3 linked regions of the Stegostoma tigrinum genome follow. The protein of the gene in region 2 purifies or fractionates together with the protein of the main gene of each other region. This does not show direct contact. Links are inferred from orthologs where the notes say so. Each region holds a gene or a part of one and is shown on either strand. Other genes may lie near its edges.

Region 1 (10,831 bases), on a different chromosome or scaffold from region 2:
CTTCCTTACGTTGACTTTTCCATCTGCTCTCTATATCCCTTGGTTTCCTTAGAGACAAAACTCTAACTATTTCAGCCTTAAAAATAGTCATAGACAACCTTAAACAATGCATTTAAACCCTCTGAAGGAGAAATTTCGAAAAATTACAATGCAATTGCAATGAGTAAAGAAATTTCTCTTCCCTTCGATCTTAAATGAACAATTCTCTGTCTTGAAACTGTCCTTCTTTGTTCTAGATTGTCCAGCTCGTGGAAACAACTGGTCTCTAGAATTCCCTTCAGAATCTTGAGTGCTTTATTGAGACTGCATTTCATTCTTTTAAACTCAAGAGTTAAGACCCAGTTTACCCAGACTGTCATCCTAGGAGCCAACTTAGTGATTGCTCACTGTACCACTTGAAATGCAAATGAATTCTTCCTTAAATGTGGAAGCTAAAACTGTTTACAGTACTCAGGTGTGACATCACCAAAACCGCATTCAATTAGAGTGGTATTTCCACATTTGTATACTCCAATTATTTTGCAAAGGACAACATGCAATTGCTTCTCTAATTGCTTGTTGCCCCTGAATGCCAACGTTTTACATTCCTTGTACAAGTATGTCCAAGACTCTCTGAACAAAAATATCAGTGAATTCCAATGTACTTAAAAATTATTTGCATTTGCATTCTCACTATCGAAGTAAATAAGTTCACACTTCCCGCATTATATTTTATCTGTCACTGAATCATTTTGTCATTAACTTAACCTGTTAAAATTTATTTGCCAACTCTTGTGTCCATTTCACACCTTTTAGACCCACTTAGCTTTGTTTCATCATTAAACTTGGATACGTTGCCCTACATTTTATTATTTAAGTCTTTAATGTAGGTTGCAAATAGGTGAGGTGCCAGTACAGATTCTTAGAGCACTTGGTAGCTATATCATGTCAACTTAAAAATGCCCAATATATCCTGTTTTTGTTTCTTGATTGTTGACTGAGATAAGCGACTATTGGCTCCAGTCACAACTGTGTTAACCAATCCCACACCGTGCTAATGTGTTATGCTTAATTACATTAGGTGATCTTTTGTGTAGGAGCTGAATGAATGCCTTTAGGAAATCCACGTATGTGACAGAGATAATGGGAACTGCAGATGCTGGAGAATTCCAACATAATAAAATGTGAGGCCGGATGAACACAGCAGGTCAAGCAGCATCTCAGGAGCACAAAAGCTGACGTTTCGGGCCTGGACCCTTCATCAGAGAGGGGGATGGGGAGAGGGAACTGGAATAAATAGGGAGAGACGGGGAGGCGGACCGAAGATGGAGAGTAAAGAAGATAGGTGGAGAGAGTATAGGTGGGGAGGTAGGGAGGGGATAGGTCAGTCCAGGGAAGACGGACAGGTCAAGGAGGTGGGATGAGGTTAGTAGGTAGATGGGGGTGCGGCTTGGGGTGGGAGGAGGGGATGGGTGAGAGGAAGAACCGGTTAGGGAGGCAGAGACAGGTTGGACTGGTTTTGGGATGCAGTGGGTGGGGGAGAAGAGCTGGGCTGGTTGTGTGGTGCAGTGGGGGGAGGGGACGAACTGGGCTGGTTTAGGGATGCAGTGGGGGAAGGGGAGATTTTGAAACTGGTGAAGTCCACATTGATACCATATGGCTGCAGGGTTCCCAGGCGGAATATGAGATGCTGTTCCTGCAACCTTCGGGTGGCATCATTGTGGCAGTGCAGGAGGCCCATGATGGACATGTCATCTAGAGAATGGGAGGGGGAGTGGAAATGGTTTGTGACTGGGAGGTGCAGTTGTTTGTTGCGAACTGAGTGGAGGTGTTCTGCAAAGCGGTCTCCAAGCCTCCGGAGGCTCTTCCCCCCCACCCACTGCATCCCAAAACCAGTCCAACCTGTCTCTGCCTCCCTAACCAGTTCTTCCTCTCACCCATCCCTTCCTCCCACCCCAAGCCGCACCCCCAGCTACCTACTAACCTCATCCCACCTCCTTGACCTGTCCGTCTTCCCTGGACTGACCTATCCCCTCCCTACCTCCCCACCTACACCCTCTCCACCTATCTTCTTTTCTCTCCATCTTCGGTCCGCCTCCCCCTCTCTCCCTTTTTATTCCAGTTCCCTCCCCCCATCCCCCTCTCTGATGAAGGGTCTAGGCCCGAAACGTCAGCTTTTGTGCTCCTGAGATGCTGCTTGGCCTGCTGTGTTCATCCAGCCTCACATTTTATCATCAGGGTATGTGACATCTGTTGTAAAAGGTCTTGCTGAGCAGTGGTAGTGTCTCTCTCTCTAAGCCAGAAGACACTGATTCAAGTCCCACTTGCCCCGGAGAGATGTCACAGCATGATTGAACTAGTTGATTAAAATAACTACTACATCTATTGGCTTTCTGTCACCATCCGCAGAGGTGGTGGTGTGTACTGCAACTAGTAACTAAGCACTTTCACTTAGAAAAACCTGTGACCTCTACTATTTAGACAGGCAAGGATATCAATCATAGATTGCAGAACCCCTGCAGAATGGAAACAGGCTCTTTGGCCCAACAAGTCCACACCAACCTTCAGAGCACCTACCCATGCTTATCACCCTCCAACTCACCTAATCTATACATCCCTGAACACTAAGGATAATTTGGCATGGCCAATCCATCTAACCTGCACATCTTTGGGCTGTGGGAGGAAGCCGGAGAACCCGTACGAAACCCACACAGACACGGGGAGAATGTGCAAATTCCACACAGACAGTCACCTGAGGATGGAATCAAACCCAGGTCCCCAGTGACGTGAGGCAGCAGTGCTAACCACTGAGCCACCGTGCATATCCTCAGATGCATGGGAACACCATTACCTGCAATTTCCCCTCCATGTTGCACTCCATCCTGACTTGACAGTATAATCTCAGTCATTCACTATTGCTGGATCAAAATCCTAGCACTCCTTCCCCGAACAACATTGTGGGCGTGATTACATCAGATGAACTGCAGCAATGCACAAGTGCAATGCACCACTGTCCTCTCGGGGAATAATGGGCAACAAGCTAGCAATGTTTGGACCCCATGAAGGGATAAAAAAGTGCATCACATATTTTGATCAATGGCTGGTTTATTGTATATTGTGATTTGTGCATTTGTTGGCAGGGGCAATCTACTTTAGATCCCAACATATTTTCCAGATGTTAAAGCCTTACTGTTGTTTAGAGTGTTCCTGTACACAGATTGACTGTTAAATACTACTGCAGTAATAGACACTATATAACATATACAAAAGTGATACAGGTTGGATTCAGTAACATTGCAGTTGCCTCATCGAAGCATTATTTTTCACTTTAAATGAATGTGGCTGAGAGTTCAATTAGTTGCAACACTAACACCAATTAATGAGAAGAAATTCATTTTCATCGTGGGTCAGTTCAGACGAGTTTCTGGGCCCTAAGGGTAAATATTGGTGTGGATGGAAATAATACATAAATTGTTCTGTAAGAATAAATTAGTACAGGCTTCTTAAATAGCTCAACTAAAAACATGGCTTTCACCTCTTCAGTATCCTTACCGTCCACCTTTACTTGTAATTTTAATCAAGTAAGATGGGGAACAATTCCCCAAAACAATGATTAAAATAAGATAACTGACCCACGAGGCCTCAGCTGGAAACAGATTCATGCTACTAAAGCACCATGTTTTTGGAAATAGTGACCTAATTTTGAAGCATTATTTACAAACTATGAAGGCAAGCAAAGAGAGCTTAACAATAACAAAATGTTATCCAGACTCAACAGTAGTCATTCTGTTAGCCAGCAGTCAGTCCATTAGAATGCAATAAAGAAAGTCAGTGCCCGCTAGGTCATCCTCAGTGAATGCCCCATTGTGTGTATCCACAGCCAAATATCAAGCTATGATTCCTGCAAAAACAAGTTTAAGAATTTTTTTGGCTGCATGAGAAAAAGATACATGCACTTTGTCTAACTTTAGGACCAATTCTAAGAGGCTGGTGCCCAAGAACCAGCTCCCAGCGTTTATATTAAAAATAAAAATAGAAACTGCTGTAATACTCAACAGGTCTTGCAGAATCTATAGACAGAGAAACAGAGTTAATTTGCCAGGTCTGTGAGTTTTCCTTATTAAGTTAGCTCTTGCTCTGCAGATTTTGCTTGTCCTATTCATTATTTTCTGTTTTTGTTTCAGTTTCCTAGTATTTACAGTAGCTCGCATTCATACAGCAAAATCTGATTTCCTTAAAGCCAATAGCTGGCTTGGAGACGGACCATTGACGAAGGCCCTAAACAGCTTCACTTTTTAAAATGCTTTCTCCCTGTCCTTTGAGACATGTAAATTTTCTCTGCAGAGAACAAATTACTTACTGTTAACTGCATAGTTTGTTATTTATTAAGGTGAACGCAACAAGATCCTACAATCTGTAACAAGCTAACTTCGCAGTTGATCAATTTTTGGTTGAAGAGGAACATTTTTAATCAACCTGTTCAGACATTTTATGACGCACTTCCAGGACAGGTGGAACGTGAACTCAAACCTTCTGACCTAAAGGCACAAGCAATACTCCCGACTCCAAAAATTGGTAGCAGGAAGGAGGAATATTAATTAACCAGGGCTAGTTAACTTCTTGCTATTTAAATTGAATCACATAAACTAATTAATGACTATCAAGATCAATTGATTGGAATTTGTTTTAACCTCATTTTTAAAGACTGCATCTCAGATAATGCAAAATTTATTCAGTACGTGTCGTGTCTTCCTTATGATGCCATCAAAATCCCAGATCCACAGGATTCTGGTTGGGAAACATGAACCCTACTATCTGAACAAAGCTGGAAGATGTTGCAGAATTCTGATATGTTTCCATTCGTTTATCCTGAACAAGGGCATGCATGGACCATCAAATACTGTGTGACTTACCCCATGTGAAGCCAGTCCAGACAATGCCAACAACAAATATTATCCAAAATAAACTCCAGAAGGTGGTGTGAAGCTGAGCTGACAACTAGAAACAGGTTTTAAAAGGTATATGAAGGGTGTGGAAGCTGTGATGTTTGGAAGAGCCTCAACGCTATTGCTATAGCAACAGGGTCAGATCCATATAATCAAAGATGGGGGCGAGTGAACAGCACTGCAGTGATTTCAGTTTTTGCAGTAATGATACTATTTCAAATTGTTTATCTTTAACTATTTAATTTGCGGAATTAATTTTTAGCCATTGTTATTCTTTTCACTTGACTCATTTGAGTACTTGTGGCAATAAAACAAATTCTATTCTTTTCTCTTCTGTATCAAAGGAGGCAATCAGAATTGGTTAGTAATTTTTATTTTAACCTGTTCTTGCCCCAAAGACCACATTTCATTCGCATTTTTGTCTTTCCTTGTGTACTCTTATCTCACTGACATCATTGATTCTTCTGACACCTTCTGCTATTTTATTTTGTTCCTTTCTCCCGCTTTTCCACTTGCATCATATTTCTTCCAATGATGTGTATTTCAGGCAGAGCTTCCAGTATGCCTTCCTTTTCCTGAATTAAGGATTCCCCATCCTCTGTGGTTGACAGGTCTCCCAACGTGGCCATTGTAAATTGCACATTCACTCCCTTGCCCTCATTTTCCACCTACCAGACTTCACATTCAAAGGATCATCCTCTGCCATTTCTGCCACCTCCAGCATAATGCTCCTATCACATTTTCTGCTGCCTCCCCAGTTATATTATATCGAAAAAAATTGTCTTTAACACCCTGGTTCATGCATCAGATAACTATAATGTGACCTCCATTCCTACGGTATCATCCAGCACAACGCGTCACCTTTCTCCCTCATTCATTTTCATTATCCAATGTCCAAACAACCCCTTTCTGGTGAAATAGTGTAAACTTCTAAATCTTTCAATCTGGAATGCTAAATTTGTTGTCAATATTGCCATCTACTCCACTTCAGGGAGACAAAATACTGATTGGGTTTATCATTTGCGAAACACCTCCATTCAGTTTGTGGCCCTGAACTTCTGATCATTTCAGTCCTCTGCTTCATTGTCACTCCGCTCTTTCTGCTGTCAGCCTCCTACACTGCTTCGATTAAAATCAATATAACATTACATCTATTAATTATCCACGCGAGAGCTTTTTGGACTCAACATAGATTTCCATGTGCTTAACTCGCTAACGTTCATTTCATTTTCCAGACAGCAGTTAGAATTGTAAGATGTTTACACCAAATAGGTAAGCTATTCAGCGTGTCGAATCCATGCTGGTCCTCTGTAAACGCTATTCAATGACTGACACTCTACATTTCTCCCATGGTCCTACAAATTTTACCATTTCAGATAATGATTCAAATTGTACCGAAATCCACTATTCAATGTGCCTTCACCACACTCACAGGCAGTGTACTCCAAATCCTAACCACTTGCTGCAAAGAAAATGTTCCTCATGTCACCATTGTTTCTTTTGTTAATTACTTTATTTCTGTGTTCCAAGTTCTCTTTGTTCCACCAATAGGAAAGTTTCTTTCGGTCCACTCTGGCCAGATGGCTCACACACCTCATATGTCCTCTTAATATTGTCTTCAAGAAGTTCTTAGTAATGGTTCTGCCATGTCTATTTTTACCTTTTCTAGACCACTGCTTCCAAACTATTTTCCAAAGTGACCATATTTCAATTTGAAAGTTAACATCATATCATATACCAACAAAAACAAAACCATAAAGCAACATAGTAACATTCAGTAGAAAAGTATTAAAATATACTTATTTAAGATCATTCTACGATATAGTATATATATAGAAATATGTGTTTGTTTGACGTATTTTGTAAAGTGCTTATTATTTTATGTGCTCACCGTCCATTACTTCACCTGAGTTGCTATAGCTCATAGATAGCCAGAAAGCAAAGGATTGATTTTTATATGTACATTTGACCAAGGAATATGGATCTGATAGTGGCTTCTGCTGGAGGTGATGGAAAAGGTTATTTGGAAGCGGGTCGTGGTGGGGTGATAAGTGGGGACCATGGGGAAACTATCAGAGCTGTGGAGGGAAGGGAAGGGGTGAGTGTAAAATTGCAGGGCATGGGTCAGACACAGCTAAGGGCCCTGTCAACAATGGCAATGGAGAATCCTTGGTTGAGTAAACAAGTGGATATTTCTGAAGTCACCATGCAGAAGACAGCATTATCAAAATTGGTGCAACAGAGGTAGGGCAGTGGGAGAATAGAATAGGATCCTTACTGAATGCAGGATGTGAGGATGTATGGAGCAGGTAACTGTCGAAGTAGTTAGTTTGTACTGGAGATCATTGGCTAGCTTAGCCCCAGAAATGGAAACATTAATGTCAAGGCAGGGAAATGAGGAGTCCAAGATGGATAGAAAGGAGGAAAGAAAGTGAACAGGCTAATCTTTATTGATAACAAACAAAGAGCTGAAGATGCTGAAGATCTGAAACAAAAAGAGAAATTGTTGGAGAGACTCAACAGTCTTGCAGCATCTGTAGACAGAAAGCAGATTTAACATTTCAATTCTGGTGATCCTTCATCAGAATTGATAGTAGCTGGGAAAAGGTAGTATTTATGCTTGTGACAGCAGGTGGGGGCAGTGTGGGGGAAGGAGTGAGAGGATAGACAAAGATGGAGCCCAGAGGGAGAGAAAGAAAGTTAGGCAGACAAAGGGATGGTTGATAGTAAGCCAGGGAATGCAAAATGCTAATAATGGGGAACACAAGTAGGTGAAACTGGGTTGGCAGTGCAGAAAGCAGCCCCTGTCATGAGAGGGCCTGGAATGCAGCGGTGGGTAAAGGGCAAGGAAGATGATGTTCAGGCGCAAAATTATTGAGCTCAATATTGAGTCCTACACGCTGAAGGGTTCCCAAGTGAAAAATGAGATGCTGTTCTTCCAGGTAGTGTTGAACTTCACGAGAACATTGCAGTAAACGCAAGACAAGATGTTGGCGATGGAACACAATATTGTGTTGAAATGGCGGGAAACCGGAAGTTCAGGGTCATTTTTGCAGGCTGAATGTAAGTATTCTGGTTACCCAGTGTGCATTTCATCTGCCAAATGTAGAGGTGACCACATTGTGAGAAGCAAATACCACAAACTAGATTGAGTGAAGTATAGGTAAGTTGCTGCTTCATCTGGGGTGTGTGTCTGGGGCCTTGGATGGTGAGGAGGGTGGAGGTAAACGGGCAGATGTTACACCTTCTGCGATTTCAGGCAAAGGTGGTGGGGCACCGTGGGGAGGTGTTGAGAGTGGTGAAGGAGTGGACTGGGTTTCTGGATGAAACAATATCTGCAGAAGGCTGACGAGAGAGGGGAAGGGAATGTGTGTCTCATGTTGACATCTGTTGGAGGAGGTGGAAACAACAGCTAATTATGTTTTGGATGAGGATTCTGGTGGGGTGGTAAGTGAAGACGAGGGGGTTACTTTTGATGTTGTGGGAAGGAAGAGAAGGCGTGAGGGCAGAGTTGTGGAAAAAGCTAAGGGCCCTTCTGCCACCACCTGTTGAACCCTATACCTGCCTTAAGAATAAATGCTACTCTTCCCCAGATGTTTTCAGTCTGATGGAGGATCATTTGACTCTGCAATCTCACCACAGATGTGGCCAGACTTGCTGAGTTTCTCTCATAATTTCTGGTTTTGTTACAGATCTTCAGCATTTGTAGTTCTTTATTTTGTTTTATTTCTGTCTGGTTAAATGAACTCATTTTAAAACATAAATTCACTGAAACTAGGAAAGGTGTCCATGAGGGAAAGGGCCATTTGCTCGTTAGGAGTAGGGAGAGGAGAGAAGGCTGAATTGGAAGAAAGGGACCCAGCTCTCCCTTCCTTATTGGGGGGGCAAAAGGAATTGGAGATACTTAGCCAGGGTCTGGCCAAGCCATGGCAAGTGGATGGGAGTGAATGAAATGGAATGGATGGGGCATGGGGAACAAATGAGAGTGTTGAGAGGGTTTGAGGACTAAGGATTAGAAGGCCTTACCTTTCCAATTATTAATGGGACAAAGTCCCGTACCCTGAGTTGTGTCTTTTGAAACAGTTGACATGGGCAGCAACAGCCGCCGGTGATTGTCTCCAAAATCTTTTCCGGGAAGGTTGGCCTGATTCTGGACTGCACGTACTCTGTGCAATGAAATTTCCTTCTGTGCAAACTCTTCATTCCAAGGCAGATAGCTGGGCCAATGATTTTCCTAACTGCTGCTACCTGACCTGAAGATAAAGCTTCACACCGTAAGATTTAATTCTGCAGTTAAAGCTGAACCTGAGTAAAGATTAACATCTAATCTCTCTACTTCAACAACTCTATTTTTTGGGGCCATGATGAAAATGGCAGAAATGGCCTGAAGTCACAAATCCTGAATCTAGGTACTGCACTTCCCATTTTTGTAGGGGCAGGAGTGTAGTTACTGCATACACTGTACAGACATGCTTTGCTTAAGCACCTGGCTATTTAAGGCATAAGCAGCCTCTGCTTGAAGTGGGATTTTGGCATCCCTGTAGCATGGAACCAAGAATCTGAACATTAGTTCTGATAACAGCATGTCTGACCTTAGTGAATTCATTTGAACAACCAAGGTATTAGAGAGGTAGGTTTCCCCAATAGAAATGGTACTGGAACACTTCAGGTGGACTATAGGTGCCTATTGTGAGGGGATGTGGGAGGTTTCCATTATTTTAGTGTGGGGCTGGGGGGAAAGGAGACCCTGTATGGCAAGTTGGGTGCTATAGCAGACAAGAGAGAATGTTGGGTCCCAAAGAGAGACAGCTAGCTTGTTAGGTCAGGGTCTGGGGGCTGCATGGAGTCTGGAGGACATGTTGTTTGGTGGGCAGTGAAATTAGGTGAAGCTTGATGAAATTGACACTTAATTAAAATTCAGTCAAGAGACTTTGAAGAGGAGCAAATATTTGATCACTTCAAGGTCCTAAGCTGCTTTGAACTCAACGCAATTTGGCATCACCCTAGTGGGTGGTAATTATAGCACTCCTCAATATTAACCCTTTCAGACTCTTTCTGAGCCAGAAGCAATTGATGACATTACAAAAAAGTGACTTCTTCAAGCCATTGTGAAAATTTGCATAAACAGAGAATCCATAAGTTGAAGATCATTCGAGGCATGTGGCACAAACAGAGGTACTGTGCCATGGCTAAAAGGGGCAAGACTCCTTAGACAGCACCTTCCAAGCCCATGACCACTACCAACTAGAATGACAAAGGGCTGCAAACACAATGGAGCACCATCGCCTGCAACTTCGCATCCAGGCCACTCACCATCTGGCTTGGAAATATATCACCATTCCTTCAGTATCCCAGGGTTGAAATCCTGCAACTCCCTAGTGACATTGTGGGTCTACCTACACCAATGAGTTAGCAGCACTTCAGGAAGGGCAGCTCACCATCATTTCTAGGCAGCTACGGATGGGTAATAAATGAAGGCTGAGCCAGCAACACTTACGTCTCTTGACTGAATAAAAATAAACAATATCAACCCTCTATTCACTGCTTGAATGGCCCTTTTTCATTATAAAATCCAAAGTTCTGCATGCCTTTGTTGTTGAAGAAACCTTTCCAAATAGTTGCAAAACTACTTTTTACTTGCCTGGAGCAAAATGTTATTTATGCAACACAAATAATTGGTGCGTCTAAGCTCTCATGAGAGAATGTAATGGATAGGAGAGGGTATTATCTTTGTATTGGACAATATGCTTCTTCAGGATCTACTGAGAATCAGTCTCTTTGCACGATATTTATAATTTTTTTTCACTTTAATTACCGCTATAAGGTAAGTTTTAAGCCACAAAATGCTAATCAACTGCAATGATGTAAAGGCCCACCTTTATAATAGTGCAGATTACATCCAGCAA
Region 2 (10,153 bases):
TTCACCAGCATGATAAAGGACAACTGAGGCTGAGAGATATCAAAAGGGTTGGGATGCATCATCACCCTGAACAATGTTATTTTGATTTTAAGTTTCAGTTCACTCTAAATAAGTTTTCATTACTGTGTACTTTTGTTTGTATCCAATCAGTGGCTGCCTAACCATTTTTGTTAATGTACAGCTTAGAAGAGTAGTAACTCATCCGGATCACTTACATGCTTTTGGAACCTGCTGCTCTTAACCAAAAAAAAAGTACATTTAGTGGCTCCAGAACTACAGCAATGTGGTTGAATCTTAACTGTGTTCTGAAAAGGCCAAGAACTACCTAACAGACAAGTCAAGCAACAATATGGCAGTTACTGTCAGATTCACATTCTTCAGCCCACATTCCACCCATCTCCAACAGCATTTCTGGGTGTGTGCTGAATGTGGGACACAATGTTTCAAGGCATCAGGTCAAATGCAGGTAAGGAAACCTCCTAATTAGTAGTTATCACTCTCCCTCAAGCTGGTGGATCAATACTCCTCCATGTCAAACATCACTTGAAACAAACCAGTTGCATCTACCCAAGTGGTGGCCTGAGTGATTGCAGTCCAAAAATCTCATTGTTGCACCCTCTTCTGAAATGTAGTGTATAGGATAGATTCAGAACAGATCAAGCAGCTAAAACTGTACATGGAGAGACTACTGGCCTGCAGCAACAGCAGAACTGAATTCCAACACAATCTGTCATCTCATAACCCAGCATATTTCTCCCCCTCCCATTAACATCAAATCCTGGGATAAATCCTTAATCGTAACCTCCACCACCATTAAGGATTGAGGACTAGGAAATCCACCAGCTGCAATTTCTCTCCAAGTCATACGTCACCCTGACCTGGAAACATTATTGTTGCTGGTTCAGTGTGATGAAACTCTCTACCCAAAGGCATTATGAAAGTAACTGAAGCAGTGGCTCAAGAACGTGGCTCACCAATAACGTCACACAAGGGATGGCACATTACATGATTAAATTCCCATGTAATTTTCTTTTATGTCATTAGATTTATCCACCTGAACAGTAAGTTCTAAAAATGTATTGAATTCAAGCCATTGATTTTATTTTGTTCTTAAAATAACATACCACCTTGCAACAACCAAAGAGATGATTTGCCTTTGTCAGGGTGAAGTTTTCAGTTTGTGAATGTTTGAATGTCTAAGCTGTCAATATTAACAATAAAAGAGGGAAAAAAAAGTGTTTGCTTTTAAGCCAGCCTTACTGGTCAGAACCTGTCCAGGGCTGAGCTGTTTTCAACTGTGCCATGAAAGAACCAAAACAGAACCTAATCCCAGTTCCCTAACAAAAATCTGAATTCTGAGAGGCAAAATTTACTTCCTTTTTAAGTCTTACATTGAAAAGTTTGTCAATGTTCTACAGTCTAATGTACTCAATTAAGAAAAAAATCTCTACATACATTTAGATTATATATTTTAATGTACTGAATGTATCTCCCACTATCAACATCCTGAGGCTTACCAATGACCAGAAACTGAACTGATCTAGCTATCTAAATACTGTGGCGACAAGAACTGGTTGCAGGCTAGGAATCCTTCAGGATGTAACTCACCTGCTGACTCCTAAACCCTGTCCACCATCAACACAGCACAAGTCAGGGATGTGATGGAATACTCCCCCTCCACTTAGTTGGATGAGCGTAACTCTAACAGCATTGAAGAAACTCCACACTACCCAGGAAAAAGCAACCCACTTAATTTGCTCCACACCCCTACACCTCTGATGTACAATCTACTAGACGCATGCAGAAATTCTCTCAGGTTCCTAAGACAGCACCTCCCAAACCCACAACTACTACCACTTAGAAGAACAAGGACAACTGATACAAAACAACACATCACTGTTTAGAGGTACTGTGTAAGATACTGAGGTAAAGTATTGTGGATGTTGATTGCAATAAGATTAGATTAGATTACCTACAGTGTGGAAACAGGCCATTCAGCCCAACAAGTCCACACCGCCCCTTGAAGCATCCCATCCAGACCCGTTTACCTATAATCTACACACCCCTGAACACTACGGGCAATTTAGCATGGCCAATCCAGCTAGCCTGCACATCTTTGGACTGTGAGAGGAAACCGGAGCATCCAGAGGAAACCCACGCAGGCACGGGGAGAATGTGCAAACTCCACATGGACAGTCGCCCGAGGCTGGAATCGAACCCGGGTCTCTGCAGCTGTGAGGCTGCAGTGCTAACCACTGAGCCACAGTGCCGCAGGATGGTGAAGAGACACAGTGTTGCAGAAGGAATGGTCCTTGCAGAATGCTGATAAGGGAGGGGAGAAGAAGATGTGGAGGCATCCTGCTGGGCGTGATGTAAGTGGCAGAGGATGATCCTTTAAATGCAAATGCACAGGGGTTTCCCTATTATTGCTCTGACACAGGCAGAAAGATTTGAGGGCAGAAGTATCGTGCACCATAACAGAAATCTAAGGTTAAAAGAGAAATGAACCAAGAAACCTTGAAGTGCAGATTCATAGTTTCTTGAAAATGGAGTTGCAGGTAAATAGGATAGTGAAGGAGGCAAATGGTATGTTTGTCTTTGTTGGACAGTGCTTTGAGAATAGGAGTTGGAAGCTCATGTTGCAGCTGTAGACGACATAGTTAGACCACTTTTGGAATACTGTGTACAATTCTGGTCACCCTGCTAATAGGAAGGTTGTTGTGAAACTTGAAAGGGTTCGGACAAGATTTACAAGAATGCTGCCAGTGTTGGGCATTTTGAACTATAGGAAGAGACTGAATAGGCTGGGGCTATTTTCCCTGGAGAGTCAAAGGCTGAGAAGTGACCTTACAGAAGTTTATAAAATCATGAGGGACGTGGATAGGATAAATAGACGAGGTCTTTTTCCTGGGATGAGGGAGTCCAAAACTAGAGGCATAGGTTTAAGGTGAGGCGGGGAAGATTCAAAAGGGACCTAAGGGGCAATTTTTTCACACAAAGGGCGGTGCATGTATGGAATGAGCAACGATGAGATTTATTTAGGATATCTGGACAGCATAGACGAGTTAGACCAGAGAGTCTGTTTCTGTGCTGTACATCTCTACGACTCTAAAAAAGAAAATGATGTCAGAAGCACTCCTTTAAAAAGTGGCATCATCAAAACAGGTGCAACAATAATAAACTGGAAGAACAGGTGGAGTGCTTGCAGGAAGCAGGGTGGGAGGAAGTGTAGTCCAGGCAACTGAAGGAGTCAGGGGTTTGTAACAGACATTACTTTTACCATTCAATTCCAAAGAAACATCATATTGGAACCAAACATTAATGCTCTTTCTCTTCCTGCTGATAAGAGTCAAGGCAGTACCAAGTACAAGGGCACAGCAAACTGGCTACTCCCCTAATCTCACTAGCAACCCTACTACCTACAGTTTCATTACCATGGCAGCCTCCCAACTCCCTGCTGTGCCTTTTATTTTTAACCCCTCCCCATACACCACCTGGTCATCCTGGAAAGAATGGCAACATAATTCCAAGCAAGGTAGTGTGTGGCTTAGAGGAAAAAATTGCAGGTGATAACATTATGGCATTTGCTCCCTTGCCCTTCTGAGTGGTATCAAGCTATTAAAGGAAACTATGAGTTGCTGTAGTGCAACTTCTATACAGTAAACGCTGCTGCCACTTTGCTCTGATGGTGGAGGGAATGAATGCGTAAGGTGGTCAACGCAACATGGATGTCTGCCAGGGGCTAACTATACAACTCTAATCCCTCAAATGAAAACATCGTTTCTTGGAGAAATAACTTTTAAAAGGCAAGGTTTCCCCGAGTGACTCAGTACATAAACGCACCATGTGCTACAGTGCTTCCTGCTTCAAAGCAAAGCTTCCAATCAGCAGCGAAACTAGTTCAACCAGGAGCTGTATTTCCAAGTTGTAAGCTGGAAAAGAATAGGGAGATTCCCATTTCTTCACCCTACGACCCCCTTTCTGTTTCGTTACTGGATCCTGACAACGACAACGTCAACCTCAACTTCAACCACAAAGCCCCTAACAACCAGGGATGGTATGCACATTTGCAGAAATACAACCGGCATCTTCAAGAGCAGTAACGGAAAAGAATATATTTACATGTAACCATCAGGATCAGGAAGACCAAGTGATGGGTGTCATCCTGCTGAGAGGCACAAAACACGATCCGGGTCGAGGTGGTCATCAGCTGGAGCAGCGACAGTCCCAGGGCCGGATACCTCTAGCACTGTAGCTGTCAGGGGGATCCTGGGCACTGAGGGGGCAGGTGGCCGGGCTGGGATAGGCCGGGGACACCCTTACCCCACTCGCCGGCCCACCTCACCCATCAACACATATACGCGCGCGCACACACATATTCCAGGTTCACTTACAAAGCCGGCAGTCCTCTGTTCTGTCTCTCAGGACTTAATGACAGATAAAGAACCAAGCGAGTCCCAGACTTTCACAAAAACAACGACGACGACGACGACGACGACGACCCGGAGCTGATGTAAATAAAGGAACATTCCCAACCAGACCTCACCGTGCCAAGTCCCACCTCTTCCCCCGACACAACCGGCACGGACCTCCACCTGCTATTGGCCAAACCTCCACGGAGGGCCGGCCAATCGGCGGAGGCGCTGTCCACTTCCCGATCGGTGGTTGGCTAGTGGAGGTGGCAATCATTGATGTCATTACGCTTCCGCTTTCAGGTTTGCCGTGGAGGGTAGGGGCTGGGCATGCGTACATTGTGCACTTGGCTGCCCGCGAGGGGGTGGGGCTTGAGTGACAGCGCTTTCGCCTCATGCCCGCAGCAATTGACAAGTTGGTGCCGAGTTATTGGCACACTGCATGTCGCTGTACAACAAAAAGTCACATCTCCCATTCACAGCCTATTGTTCTGAAACCTGTGTTCAGGATCTACCCTGTATTTGAACTTTAAAGATTATTGCCAAAATAATATTACTGCACCCCTTTCGTGTTAATATTTCCGCAGGATCGTTTTTTCCATGCAAAATATTCACGTGCAGCTCATGACAGGCAACAAAATGTTGGCTCAGGCAGCGAAGCCTACGAATAAACAATAATAAAATATCCTAAACCTTACTCCACTTCATCCAGGACATGCATGACGTCCTCTTGTTTTAAAGCTATTTCTGGATTTTTGTTTGTGCTTCTTCAATGGGGAAGATAAAGGGGAAATGTTTGTTGATGTCATTCTTAACAGTTGTTCTCTTCATTGTAGGTCTGGAATCACATGTCGGTCAGACGAGGTGAGGATGGCAAATTTCCCTTCTTAAAGGACATGAGTGACCCTACGCAGCTGTTCTGTTTCTTGATGATCGTTTCAAGGTCACTTAGCTTTTTACTTCCTGACTTTTATGAAATTACATTCATATTCCACCAGATGTCCTGATTTTAACCCAGTCCCCAAAACATTGGGCTGGCTCCTTTGGGATTTTTGACCATCTCTCCACAGATGCTGCCAGACCAGCTGAGTTTCACTAGCATTTTGTTTCTAATTCAGATCTCCATCATCACCAGTATTTTGTTTTTGTATATTCATGTTTTTACATTTTTATTTGAAAAATCCTAATTCTCACAAACCCTTTCTTCCCTATAATTGACAAAATGGTTTTGAGAGTCCGATGAAGGGGACTCTAAGTGATAGGATCTACATGCATTTGAAAAGGCAAGGACTGATCAGAGATAGTCAGCATGGCATGGGAAATCATGTCTCACAAACTTGATCGAGATTTTTTGAGGACGTAACCAAAAAGATTGAGGACAGAGCGGTAGACATTGTCTCTGTGGACTTTAGTAGAATCTTTGATAAAGTTCCACATGGCAGACTAATTAGTAAAGTTAGATAAAATGGGATTCAAGGAGAGCTTGCCAATTGGATACAAAATTGGCTTGATGGTAGGAGACAGGGTGTGGTGGTGACGGCTGTTTTTCACACTAGAGGCCTGTGACCGGCAGTGTTCTGCAGGAATCAATGCTGGGTGCACTTTTGTTTATCATTTATATGAACAATTTGGTTGAGAATTTAGGAGGAATGGTTAGTAAGTTTGTGGATTACACCAAACTTGGTGGTATAATGACAAGTGAAGAAGGTTATCCAAGGTTACAGAGATGTTGACCAATTGACTAACGGGCTGACGAGTGGCAGATGGAGTTTAATTTGGGTAAATGTAAGGTTTTGCATTTTTGGTAAAACAAACAAGGGCAGGACTTACACAGTTAATGATAGGACCCTGAATAGTGTTATTGAACAAAGAGATCTAAGGGTTCAGGTACATAGTTCTTTGAAATTTGCATCACAGGTAGACAGGGTGTTCAAAAAGACATTTAACATGCCTGCCCTCTTTGCTAAGACCATGGAGTACAGGAGTTGAGATGTCATGTTGAGGTTGTATAGGACATTGGTGGTGCAACTTTTAGAGTACGATAGGAAGGATATTATTAAATTGTAGAGGGATCAGAAAAGACTTAGCAGGATGTTGCTGGGACTGAAGGGTTTGAATTATATGGATAGGCTGCAATGGGCTGTGACTTTTTTCATTGAATCAAAGGAGGTTGAGGAGTGACCTTATTAAGGTTTAGAAAATCATGAGGGGCATAGATAAGGTGAATAGCAAGGGTCCTTTCCCTCGGATGGGGGATTTCAAAGCCTGCGGGCATATTATTAAGATGAGAGGAGAAAGATTTAAAAGGTACCTGACGGGAAACTTTTTCACACAGAGGGTCACTCATATGTGGAATGAGCTGTCAGAGGAAGTGGTAGATACAGGTATAGTTACAACATTTAAAAGACATATTGATAGGTACATGAATAGGAAAAGGTTGGGGGGATACGGGGCAAATGCCGGCAAATGGGACAAGTTTCGTTTGTAAAACTTGGTCGGCGTGGATGAGTTGGACCAAAGTATCTATTTTGGTGCTGTATGACCCTATGACTCTAGTCCACGAACTACACAGCTGCAACGTGTCCTTGAGACCAAAATGGCATGACAATTTGAAAATTATATTGGGCATGTGGATTCAGGTTAATAAACATTATAATAGTATAATGTTGAATATTTTGCAGCAGCAACCTGCTATTCGGTTCCTACCGTTTTTCTAGTAGGGTTAGAGATGTTAGTTGAAGTGAAGATTAACTTTTTTTTGATTAAAATACTTCATTCTACAGTTGAAGAAAGCAATCACTCTCTGCTGTTTGTGATTAAAAATATAGACAAATTTAAGATTATACAAAAGAATAACGTGCATTTCTCCTGGGAGATTATCTAAAATGATGAAATAATGACACAAATAAATGTCATGGTAATTATCAAGATATCATCAAATGTCTTGGTATTTACATTTACAAATCTTACTTCATTGTGACACAAATTAATTAACAGTATTTGTACCATGGTTTAGAAATTCCAGTAGAAGTGTAATTGGTCAATACGTTTATTTGCTGTTATGTTCCTGCAGTGATTTCTGTCTCAAATGCCAGATAACGGGTATTTTTAAACAACAGGGCTGTGAAACAAGCAACAAAAGAAGAACAAGCTCATTTCGGCATTCTTTTGAGAAAAGGAAAGAGGTTAATAGAGGTCAACAATTCTCTCTGCTACAGAGATTGACTGCCAGTTGCTTTTTTTGAATTTTAGGGCCGACAGCAAGCCAGGACAAATCATAAGTCTGCTCTCTATGCACATATCAAATTAGGTGAGTACCTGGCATATGTATATTCAAAATAGATGCACAGGAAAAATACCTCATACAATAACGGCTTGCATATTATGACTGCACAAACTAGTTTTCCCCACTTGCCCAAGCATCACCTTGTGTTGTTGTCAAGACAGAAAAGTGGGAGAGACGAGGGGTAGGGCAGTATGGTTTTGGTGTTGAATCACAAATTGTGGTGCACTTTAGCATTCTGAATCATCATAGAATCCCAACAGAGTGGAAACAGGCCCTTCAGTCCAACATATGCACACCAACTCTCAAAGCATCCCTCTCAGATCCATCCCCCTAGAACCCATGAATCTACACATCCCTGAAATACAATGGACAATTCAGCATGGCCAATCCACCTAGCCTGCACATCTTTGGACTGTGGGAGAAAACTGGAGCACCCGGAGGAAACCCGCACAGAAACGGGGAGAATGTTCAAACTCCACAGTCACTCGAGGGTGGAATCAAACCCGGATCTCTGGCTCTGTAGGGTAGCAGTGCTAACCATTGAGCCACCATGCCACCATGCAAAGCCTATTTTTTTTATCACTCCCCAGTATGGAAACTGACCAATTTCAATCGCTATTATTATTATCCTCTATCATCAACTGACTATGTCACATGTAAAGAAACTGCGGAGGAGAGAGATGCAGCACACAACTCAGAAAGCACTAGCAAAGACAAAGGGAGTGAAATAGAGAGAAAGGGGGAGAGCTCATAGTGTAAACATATCACAGCAGGTCAAAGAGGATGCCAATAATATTCAGTACTACCAGATGCCAAAAGTTTGTGTGACGTGTTCCTAATGGTTGTCAATAGCTTACATACATAATAGCTTTGGATATATGATTATATAAAACAAATTTGTTTGTTCTTACAAATCATATCAACAAACATTTGGACAGAAAATTAAGTTAGTTTGTGTGAAAATTCCCAGTGGTCACGTTTGAAAGAAGATGTGCTAGAGGAAATAAGAAATATATACCTATAAATATATCCCTGGGGTTTTTTTACAGCAGTCTGGAAAGTTTTTCAGTTTGATGATATATCAATGTGTCTTATCCTCGATATCTTAGGAATTGGGAGAGTTAAAAAAATAAGTGACCTGGATATGTACAGAAATGTGTACATGTCGTGGTGGTTCAAAATGTTTTTACTGATGCTGCATTTGAAAAGTTTGAATTACACTTCTCTATCAATGGAATCTTTATTTGTTTATCATCAAGAATTTACCTTTCCACTAAACAAAAGACTTTACACTTGTGTAGTACTTTTTACAATCACTGGACATCTCAATAAGCTTCACAAGCAACTGACACTTTCTGAACTGTAGTCAGTGGTATAATGTAAGAAGTGCAATCGATAATTTGTGCACAGCAAGTTGTCACTCAACAATGTAATAATGACAAGGGATCTCTCACTTGCTCCTCAAAACAGTGCCATTAGATCCTTTTACGTTCACCCGAGAGGGCTTCAGTTAATATCTCTTAAGAAAATTGTAATCTCCAACAATGCAGTGTTCCCTCACTTGGGTGTCAACCCTAACTTTTTGTGCTCAAATTTTGTACGAGATCGTGAACCCACACTCAGAGGAAAGAGTGCTTCAAGTGAGCCATGATTGGGAAAATAACAAAAACCATTGATATCAAAGGGGTGTAAAGGTGAAGGCACCATATTAAGAATGTAATTTTCAAAGCAACCTATTCGATCTCCTGCAGCCAATTCTCAGTTTAAATATTTCACTTGGTGAGGAATAAACATTTCTGGGGAAAAGACTGCTATTTGACTGGATTTTTTTTTCAGTTTATATCAGAGGATGAACACCAGGATGAATTGGTTGGGTCAAATGGCTTGATTCTATGTATCTTATCCAGTGTATTTCCAGATACGTGGAAATGACCTTAAGCTGTTGTGGAGAAGGTGCACAAATGGAAGTAAAGGTAGAAGAGCAACTTCGCATTATTTTATCCTTTCCTGGGATTTAACAATTATTTAAAGCCCAACCCCAGCTGCTTTTAAGAAAGTGAGGCCAGCAATCTTCTTACACGGCTGCAGCCCTTCTGTTCAAGGTACACCCATACTGCCAGTGTGTTCCAGGATTTGCTAAAGAACGGCAACTGAAGAACTGGAGTGCCTTGGAAGGGTACTCGCAGTTGATTGTTTTCCTATGTGTCTGCTGCCCTTATCTTTCTAGATAGTACAGGTTTTGGGTTGTATAACATCTTGTAGATGACAAATATTGCTGCCATTAGTAATGAAGGTAGTAAATGTAGAGGGCGAAGGTGCCTATCAATTTGGATGCTTTGACCTGGATTGTGTCTAGCTTCCTCAGTGTTGTTTTAGCTGCATCAAGCCACGTAGGTGGGGGGCAATCCATCGCACACCCAATCTGTGTCTTGTAAATCATGGGCAGGCACTGGGG
Region 3 (10,731 bases), about 18 Mb from region 2:
GATGACAAGTTATGTCTAGCAGCCAGGCCTGGATGCAGACAAAGGCACATTGGTGGGGCAGTGTCCAGAGTGACAACAAGGACAAAGATTACTTCCAGCAGCTCCCCCACATTGATGGGAATGGTAAATCCTGGACTCGGTTACACATTAGAGATAACAAGGTGTAGAGCTGGATGAACACAGGAAACCAAGCAGCATCAGAGGAGCAGGAAGGCAAATGCTTTGGGCCTAGACCCTTCTTCTGAAGAAGGGTCTAGTCCCAAAACATCAGTTTCCTGCTTCTCTGATGCTGCTTGGCCTGGCGTGTTCATCCAGCTCTACACCTTGTTATCTCAGATTCTCCAGCATCTGCAGTTCCTACTATCTCGGTTCACATCAATTATCTTTTCATGGGCCCAATGTTCTTAGTCATTGTAGATGCCCACTCAAAGTGATTGGATGTGAATCGGGTCCATTTGTCAAACATGGGGACAATGATAGAAAAACTGTCAATGCACAGAGTCACAGAAGTGTTGGTCACAGATAACAGGTTTACCAGTGGGGAATTTGGACTTGATTATTGGATCACTCTTCATGCAACTACAGGGATAGCACCGGCAAATTTGCTAATGGGCAGAAGACTCAGCCCCAGGGTAAGTCTGACCTTCCCTGATCTGTTCGGGTGGCGAGGGGGGGAGCGGTTTGTGAAACAGCATCAGGAACCCAAATGCCAGACACAAGACTCCGCCAAGTGAAAGAGACAGTTTGATGCAGGGGATGAGGTTTGCTGTAAGAATCACAGAAACAGCCTCACAGTTGGGTAAGAAGCATAGTTAATGTGAGATCATAGGTAGGTCCTTTGTTTTGAAGAGCCTCCTGGGACCTCTGAGCTCAGGGTCAGGTTCTGCTTTCTCTGCCTCCAATCTGAGCGACGTGTACCACATGTCGAGATCAGGGCCAGTGACATATAAAGTTTAGGTAGGTGCAACAGTCCTGAACAAGCACGTGGACTATATGAAAGCTGCAAATTTGTCAACTGTGCAGGAGCAAATTGTGCCCTGCCCCTTGGAAGAGTCAGAGAGAACACCAGAATCTGTGAATTCACCCTCCCCATCGAGCATTGACAAGTCCTCAGAATCAGACAGGCTGGATATAACCACTTCGATGCCTTTGCTGCCCGAAGAAGAGTGAAATTTTACCGAGGTGGTCCTGGCACAAGAGGAGTGCTCCCATGTGGGACATGTCGCTCAGATTGGAGGCAGAGAAAGTGGAACATGACCCTGTGCTCAAAGGCCCCAGAAGGGTCTTCAAGAAAAAGGACCTGCCTATGTCCTCAGAATCAGATGGGGAGGGACTTAGTGATTGCAGGAGGTCAGTCAACTGGACCATATAGAATTGGGGCTGTTAATCTGATTCAATGGGGAGACCTGGCTGACAGATAAAAGGGAGTGTCAGAAATACTGACAGCCTAGGAGCTGACTCTGAAGACAAAGGACTAGAGTCAAAGACCGTTGATGTGTAAGTAAAGGGTGACTTGGTGACAGGATACCGGCATCTGTAGAGTTATTTCTGTCTGCCCTCAGCTAACCCTCTTTGCTGTTGCTAAGTTTCCATGTTAACAGTTAGTCTCCTACTCACCTCAATCATGCTATAAAGTTAAACAAGGAAAGCCTCTGATCTCGGACACAACCGCACAAAGCTCACAGGTACACAATACTGAATGATGTACAACTTAATCTTGATGGTAGGATCTTATTCTAAAATAGCTTTACATTATTAAGCATTCATTGTATGCAAATATATTACAATTACAAGCCTACCACAGACCAGTGTGAGGCCCAACGCAACGGTGAATTTATCTCTACATTTCATTCCACCTGAGGGAAATCAAAATTTTGCATCCCACTTAATTCATTAATTTCCCCAACCAAACCTTAGAAAACCTGGTCTTTTCATACATTATAGATCGTGCAGTGCAAAAAAAATTGCTATACTTCCTAAATTATATCAGCAACTAGACTTTAAAAATACTCTACCTGCTGGCTTGAAGTTATGAGGCACTATGTAAATGCAAGTTCCTTCTTTTGGAAATTTGACCAAGGTGAATAAAGAATGGAATCATGAGTAGCTATAGTGAATAGACCATAAGAGATAGGAATGTGCCATTCGGCCCGTCAAGTCTGCTTCACCATTTGATCATGGCTTATATGTTTCTTTGGCATTTGGACAGGGATGGAAGTATGAAAGGTACAGAAGTGAAAGGTACAGCTCAGGCAAAATGAAGTGTTGGAGGTTCATGCACAGCATAAACACCAATGTAGGCCAGTTATACTGTGTCAGAAATAATGGGAACTGCAGATGCTGGAGAATCCAAGATAACAAAGTGTGAAGCTGGATGAACACAGCAGGCCAAGCAGCATCTCAGGAGCACAAAAGCTGACTTTTTGGGCCTAGACCCTTCATGGGGGATGGGGAGAGGGTTCTGGAAAAAAATAGGGAGAGAGGGGGAGGTGGACCGAAGATGGGGAGAAAAGAAGATAGGTGGGGAGCGAGGGAGGTGGCAGGTCAGTCCAGGGAAGACGTGCAGGTCAAGGAGGCGGGATGAGGTTAGTAGGTAGGAAATGGAGGTGTGGCTTGAGGTGGGAGGAAGGGATGGGTGAGAGGAAGAACAGGTTAGGGAGGCAGAGACAGGCTGGGCTGGTTTTGTGATGCAGTGGGGGAGGGGGCGAACTGGGCTGGTTTTGGGATGCAGTGGGGGAAGGGGAGATTTTGAGCTGGTGAAGTCAACATTGATACCATTGTGCTGCAGGGTTCCCAAGCGGAATATGAGTTGCTGTTCCTGCAACCTTCTGGTGGCATCATTGTGGCACTGCAGGAGGCCCATGATGGACTTGTCATCTGAGGAATGGGAGGGGGAGTTAAAATGGTTCGCAACTGGGAGGCGCAGTTGCTTATTGCGAACCGAGCGGAGGTGTTCTGCAAAGCGGTCCCCAAACCGCCGCTTGGTTTCCCCAATGTAGAGGAAGCCACACCAGGTACAATGGATACAGTATACCACATTGGCAGATGTGCAGGTGAACATCTGCTTAATATGGAAAGTCATCTTGGGGCCTGGGATAGGGGTGAGGGAGGAGGTGTGGGGGCAAGTGTAGCACTTTCTGCGATTGCAGGGGAAGGTGCCGGGTGTGGTGGGGTTGAAGGGGAGTGTGGAGCGAACAAGGGAGTCACGGAGAGAGTGGTCTCTCCGGAAGGCAGACAAGGGTGGGGATGGAAAAATGTCTTGGGTGGTGGGGCCGGATTGTAGATGGAGGAAGTGTTGGAGAATGATGCGTTGTATCCGGAGGTTGGTGGGGTGGTATGTGAGAACGAGGGGGATCCTCTTGGGGTGGTTGTGGCGGGGGTGGGGTGTGAAGGATGTGTTGCGGGAAATGTGGGAAATGCGGGAGACACGGTCAAGGGCGTTCTCAACCAGTGCGGGGGCAAGTTGCGGTCCTTGAAGAACGTGGATATCTGGGATGTACGGGAGTGGAATGCCTCATCGTGGGAGCAGATGAGGCGGAGGCGGAGGAATTCGGAATACGGGATGGAATTTTTGCAGGAGGGTGGGTGGGACGAAGAGTATTCTAGGTAGCTGTGGGAGTCAGTGGGCTTTAAATGGATATCAGTATCTAGCTGGTTACCTGAGATGGAGACTGAGAGGCCCAGGAATGTGAAAGATGTGTTGGAGATGGCCCAGTTGAACTTGAGGTTGTGGTGGAAGGTGTTGGTGAAGTGGATGAACTGTTCGAGCTCCTCTGGGGAGCAAGAGGCGGCGCCGATACAGTCATCAATGTAACAGAAGAAGAGGTGGGGTTTGGGGCCTGTGTAGGTGCGGAAGACCATAAGACCATATGACCATAAGACATAGGAGTGGAAGTAAGGCCATTCGGCCCATCAAGTCCTCTCCACCATTTAAATCATGGCTGATGGGCATTTCAACACCACTTCCCGGCACTCTCCCCGTAGCCCTTGATTCCTTCTGAGATCAAGAATTTGTCGATATCTGCCTTGAAGGCATCCAACGTCCCGGCCTCCACTGCACTCTGCGGCAATGAATTCCACAAGCCCACCACTCTCTGGCTGAAGCAATGTCGTCTCATTTCAATTTTAAATTTACCCCCTCTAATTTTAAGGCGGTTCCCACGGGTCCTAGTCTCCCCGCCTAACGGAAACAACTTCCTAGCGTCCACCCCTTCTAAACCATACATTATCTTGTAAGTTTCTATTAGATCTCCCCCTCAACCTTCTAAACTCTAATGAGTACAATCCCAGGATCCTTAGCCGTTCATTATACATTAAACCTACCATTCCAGGGATCGTCCGTGTGAATCTCCGCTGGACACGCTCCAGGGCTAGTATGTCCTTCCTGAGGGGTGGGGCCCAAAATTGGACGCAGTATTCTAAATGAGGCATAACTAGAGCCTTATAAAGCCTCAAAAGCACATCGCTGCTTTTATATTCCAACCCTCTTGAGATAAACGACAACATTACATTCACTTTCTTAATTACGGACTCTACCTGTAAGTTAACCTTTAGAGAATCCTGGACCAACACTCCCAGATCCCTTTGCACTTCTGATTTGCGAATTTTCTCACCGTTGAGAAAATAGCCCATGCCTGTATTCTTTCTTCCAAAGTGCAAAACCTCACATTTACTCACATTGAATTTCATCAGCCATTTCCTGGACCACTCTCCTAAACTGTCTAAATCTTTTTGCAGCTTCCCCACCTCCTCAGTACTACCTGCCTGTCCACCTATCTTCGTATCATCGGCAAACTTTGCCAGAATGCCCCCAGTCACTTCATCCAGATCATTAATATATAAGGTGAACAGCTGCGGCCCCAACACTGAACACTGCGGGACACCACTCGTCACCGGTTGCCATTCCAATAAAGAGCCTTTTATTCCAACTCTCTGCCTTCTGTCAGGCAGCCAATCCTCAATCCAAGCCGGTAGCTCACCTCGAACGCCATGGGCCCTCACCTTGCTCAGCAGCCTCCCGTGAGGCACCGTATCAAAGGCCTTTTGGAAGTCCAGATAGATAACATAAAGAGGGACTGTTCCACGTACTTTGTGGTCTGTTTCTGTAACAAAGAGAAAAATGCTGGACAAACTCAACAATCTGGCAGCATCTGTGGAGAAAGAGATGTGGCTTGTTTGCCTGTAATGAATTAAATGTGGTTTGTATCCATATTCAATGTAGATAAGTTATTGACGACAATCTCAGTTTTTAAAAGATTGAGGTAAATGGAATTAGCGTATTTGATGTTTGTTGGTTAACTATGTTTTATTTTTTTGTACATTCTATGAATAAAGTATATTTTTTCAAAAAAATTTGATGTTTGTTTGTCGGCATTGACATGATGGGCCGAATGGCTTGACTCTATACTGTACGAGCCTACGACACGTACCAAAGAATGCGACAACTTCTCCTAATTTGTTAACAAGCAATGTGAGAGCATTCAACCAAACAGGACTGGTAACAAAGACAATAAAATGTGAGGCTGGATGAACACAGCAGGCCCAGCAGCATCTCAGGAGCACAAAAGCTTTTGTGCTCCTGAGATGCTGCTGGGCCTGCTGTGTTCATCCAGCTCCACACTTTATTATCTTGGATTCTCCAGCATCTGCAGTTCCCATTATCACTGATCACAAAGACAGTCGCTCCCTTCTGCCAATGAACATCTGGAGGTTGGACTTGTCTGTATCACATGCTGAACGGGAAGTGACAACTTCAACAAGATCTGTCTTTGCATGTTAAATTAGATACGAATTGCAGTGGGTTATTTTGTGTTCTTCATCTGACGTCCAAACGTTTTCCCGGTGATTTTACAGGTGAGTGTAACAACAGAGTTTAAGAAATCCCGATCTATACCAAACTTCCCAAATATGTATTTAGAGAAGACGATTCACGTTTGACCGCATTATTGCTGGTTGTTTAAATTCGTAGAGCTTCTAAAGGGGATTTCTTTTTTTAAAAAAAAGGAGGAAGTGGACAGTTTTAGACAGTTTTGCACCGAGACTCAGATCAGTTCTATTACTGTGACGTTCTCATTTGCGTTTTCCCCGAGGTGTTTCGCCAGTCTGGGAATGGTTCGCATTCATCTGTGTCCTGGTTGTAAAACGTGTAGCAAAATCGTGAGATTTCCTGCAGTTGATTTCCTGCGCGCAAAGTGAAATTGGAACAAAAGGCATTGAGGTCACATAACCCAGTTTTATATATATTTGACTCTGTCGTTGTTTGAGAGAAGTGATAGGGATTGGAAAGTGAAACTTGGGACGAGATTTGTTTCCGGCTACACACTTGTCCCCGCCTCCGCACGCAGCGCTTGTTTAACTCCTGTGTGTTGTGTAGTTGGTAGATAATTGTTAAGTTTTGACCCCAGTCGATATCAAGCAGTTGGTCACCCAAAACCCAAAAGGATCTGGTAATTACAGCTTCCAAGTTTAACCTATATTTTCTAATCAGCCTGTTCAAAGTTTCATACCACTGTGATTTGTTCAAATTCTTGTCTGTTCTTTCTCAGCCAGTACATCAAAGGATTGGGCTTCACATTTTTGGAGTCTGCACTTACTATTGGAAACTGCATTTTTGATTGCAGAGGTATAATCGTGTATTTAGGATATTTCGGAACTTGAGTAGGCCATTCTGCCCCTTGAGCCTGTTCCACCCATTTGATGCAATCATTGGCTCATCTGTGTTTTAACTCCATATACCTGCCCTTGGCCCTTATCCCCTAATACCTCTGCGTAACAAAAAATTATCTATCTCAGATTTAAAATTAACAACTGAACCAGCATGCATTGCCATTTATGGAGGAAAGTTTCAAATATCTATCACCCTTTGTGTGTAGAAGTACATCCTAACATCTGTCCTGAACAGTCCATAAGACCATAAGACATAGGAGTGGAAGTAAGGGCATATGGCCCATCGAGTCCACTCTGCCATTTAATCATGGCTGATGGGCATTTCAACTCCACTTCCCTGTAGCCCTTGATTCCTTGTGAGATCAAGAATTTATCAATCATCGCCTTAAAGACATCTAATGTCCCGGCCTCCACTGCACTCTGTGGCAATGAATTCCGCAGACCCACCACTCTCTGGCTGAAGAAATGTCTCCTCATTTCAGTTCTAAATTGACCCCCTCTAATTCTAAGGCTGTGCCCACGGGTCCTAGTCTCCCTGCCTGATGGAAACAACTTCCCAGCATCCACCCCTTCTAAGCCATACATTATCTTGTAAGTTTCTTCAAGATCTACCCTCAACCTTCTAAACTCTATTGAATACAATCCCAGGATCCTCAGCCGTTCATTGTACGTTAAACCTACCATTCCAGGAATCATCCGTGTGAATCTCCGCTGGACACGCTCCAGCGCCAGTATGTCCTTCCTGAGGTGTGGGGCCCAAAATTGGACACAGTGTTCTAAATGGGCCTAACTAGAGCTTTATAAAGTCTAGCCCTAATTTGCAGACTACGCCCTCTGTTCTAGAATCCTCAACCAGTGTAAACAGTTTTTCCTTTTAATATCTTGAATACATCAATCAGACCACTTCATAACCTTCTAAATTCTTGAGAAAGCAGCCCTACTTTGCACAATCTCTCCTCATCATTTGAAGTCCAGCTATCATTCTTGTAAATCTACCTTGCACTCCTTCTAAAACCAATATATCCTTCCTAAAGAGTGATGCCCAAATTTGCTCATAGTACTCCAAGTGGCATCAAACCGGGGATTTCTGGTCTATCAATAAATATCCCTGTGTAGATAGTGTGGATGATAGCATAAAATTACAATGCTGCCTAACTTTGTCATCAGCAAATTTGGATACGTGACTTTTTGTGCTATTATCCCAGTCATTAACAAATAATGTGAATAATAATCTAGCACAGATTCTTGTGGGCCAACACTGATCACATCTTGCCGATTTCAGTTCCTGTCCGTTATCCCTATATTTTGTTGCCTGCCAATTTCCTCGCCGTGTCCTCACGTCTGTGGGCTTCTACCTTAGTTGACAGTCTCAAATGTAGGATTTTATCGAATACCTTCCAGAAGTCCAGTTAAATGAGATCTGTAGGCATTTCCCTATCCAATATCTTAGCCACCTCTTCAAAACATTATTTGTCAATCTACTTGTCACAAATCTGTGCTGGCTGTCTCCAATTTAACTGAAAAATTTCAAGGTGTACACTTATCCAATCCTTACTTGTTGACTCCAACAATTTCCCCACAACAGATTTAGTTGACTGGTTTTTCCTTTGTCGTCCTTCTTAAAAAGCAGAATGACGTGCAATTTTCCACTCCGAAGGGGTGTCTCCTGCATCTAGGGAACACTGAAAGATTATATCTACAGTGTGATACCCCCAATTCCTTTTCCATCCTCAGATGAATATTTTGTTTTATTCAGTCCCTGTTCCTGGTCCACTAATAACTTCAAAAATATAATATTCTTGGTCTCATTGTGCTGTTAAAGATGTCCTTGATACAATATATCAACCTTCAGAATGACCAATCTCTGGTCATAAATGAGTAAATCATCTACCACGCTGGGGTGTCCTTACTGTTCATTACACAATCCCATTCTCAGATTGTACAGCATCTTTGTTGGTCATCCTTTGCTGTACTGTCTGACCCAAGTGCATTCTTTGTCAGCTTTCCCTGCCTCGCTGGATGGTAAAATTGGGCTTGTCATTGATGTAAAGGTTTTGAACGTTTCCACTACGAGCATGATGGGCTGACTGGCCTCCTTCTAAATCATCACAATTCTGTGATTCAGGAAAAATGACATCCTGTTGATCAAGCCTTGCACATGGAGAAGGGACAAAGTATAGGAGCAGATTTACTGCTGATGCTGTAATCTCTTCCAAAAATAACAAATGCTGGAGATTGCAGCGAGTCAGACAGCATCCATGGAGATTCAGCAAGTGCACATTTTGAGTGGAAATGACTTCATCAGATGAAGAGCCATCTTGACTTGAAATGTCTCTCCATGGATGCCGTCTGACTCGCTGTAATCTCCAGCATTTGTTGTTTTTGGGGACAAAGTATCTGCTGCAGTGTGCCTCTTCCTGGAACATGCTCTGTCTTTCCATCATAGCGGTCATCCCTTGTCTGATTTTGTGGAGGTGTTTTTGCTAACTCAGAATTTTAAAATGTCACAAGTTTTTGTAGTCTAGATGAAGGACATAATCTGTAATGTTTCAATGCAGCTGCTAATACTACTTTCCTTATTGATGCCGTAACTCTGGTCAGTCTCTGACATTGAGTGAATCGCATAGTGAACTGATCTACACTCTCTCTATCCATTTGTATATCAATTTATACACCTCCCTTTTCTGTAGGAGAAGCATCAGCAGCAATGATCATGGGCAGCTGTGGGTTACAATGTGTTTAAATATCAAGACGATAGATGATTTATTATTATGTGTACCAAGAAACAGTGAAAAGTATTGTTTTGCATGCTAATCAGACAAGTCACACCTTACACAAGTATAACAGGGTAAATGAACAGGATGCAGAATATAATGTTACAGCTACAGAGAAGATACTGGGAAAGATCAACTCTAACATATGAGGGATCCCATCAAAAACCTGATACCAGTGCAGAAGAAGCTGTTCCTGAATCTGTTGGTGTGTGTTTTCAGACTATTGTATCTGCTTTGCATTGGGAGAGACTATAACTGGTCCTTGATTATATTTGGCTGCTTTCCCAAGGTACTTCATCACCAGATTTTCTTGGTTTTCTTAAAAAAAACATCTGTGTTGTGCCTCCTAACCAACACCATGCCTTTCTTGTCGGAGCAGTTAATTTAGTGGCTTGTTGGCACAAATATAGATTAGATTAGATTCCCTACAGTGTGGAAACAGGCCTTTGGCCCAACAAGTCTGCACTGCCCTTTGGAGCATCCCACCCACACCCATCTCCCACACACCCCTGAACACTACAGGCAATTTAGCATGGCCAGTCCACCTAGCCTGCATATCTCTTGGCTGTGGGAGGAAACCCACGTAGACACGGGGAGAATGTGCAAACTCCGCACAGACAGTTGCCCGAGGCTGGAATCAAACCTGGGTCCCTGGCACTGTGAGGCTGCAGTGCTAACCACTGAGCCACCATCCCGCTGTAATCAACCAGCAATAATGAGCAGTTCAACTCACATATTAAATAACTTCTGTAAGCATGTATTTGGGATGGGCAAGAGCATTCCAGCTTAGTTTACCATACCCAAGAGTCTCTGGAGCTCAGCCACATTGAGGAATGAGAAGCTTTTGGATTTTTCTTTGCCATCTGTAGATTAACTCTGACACTAGGTGCATGCACAGTATGCCCAAGGATCTTGACAGTTAAGTTGCAAAAATTTGCATTTGATTTGGTCCTGATTTCTGTATGTTCAACTGCTTTGTATGCCTGCGTAAGATCCAATCAGACTCTAGATCCGTTGGACTTTGGAACTGGGGCCATTTCCAAGCACCAGCTTGTTGGTTCTGTCACAGACAAAATAACCCATTTCTTCAATATCAGAGCCAATTTCCTTTTAGCAAGTGCAAATGATAAATTTATCTGGGCGTGTACTGACACTCTAGCTTCCGGAATTGGTCGTGCCACTATTGAACTGGGTTGGACAGGATGAAAAATAACATGACACCAGGTTATATTCCAGCAGGTGGAATTGAAAATACAAGCTTTCAGAGTGTTGCCCCTTCCTCAGGAGCAGT

The links.
Region 1: the proteins of cylda (region 2) and spata2 purify together in Homo sapiens (affinity purification with western blotting; 10 studies listed by BioGRID and IntAct, with this or other methods). This does not show direct contact. The link is inferred for Stegostoma tigrinum from reciprocal best matches to the Homo sapiens genes CYLD and SPATA2.
Region 3: the proteins of cylda (region 2) and spata2l purify together in Homo sapiens (affinity purification with mass spectrometry; 3 studies listed by BioGRID and IntAct, with this or other methods). This does not show direct contact. The link is inferred for Stegostoma tigrinum from reciprocal best matches to the Homo sapiens genes CYLD and SPATA2L.

The regions. Positions count from the first base shown.
Region 1 is NC_081372.1:39,296,513-39,307,343, forward strand, and holds the start of spata2 (spermatogenesis-associated protein 2), read right to left. Parts: upstream 5,011-10,831; 5' UTR 4,893-5,010; intron 1-4,892.
Region 2 is NC_081369.1:27,041,155-27,051,307, forward strand, and holds the start of cylda (ubiquitin carboxyl-terminal hydrolase CYLD), read right to left. Parts: upstream 4,552-10,153; 5' UTR 4,395-4,551; intron 1-4,394. UniProt on the Homo sapiens protein: Deubiquitinase that specifically cleaves 'Lys-63'- and linear 'Met-1'-linked polyubiquitin chains and is involved in NF-kappa-B activation and TNF-alpha-induced necroptosis.
Region 3 is NC_081369.1:45,445,963-45,456,693, forward strand, and holds the start of spata2l (spermatogenesis associated 2-like), read left to right. Parts: upstream 1-5,711; 5' UTR 5,712-5,853; intron 5,854-10,731.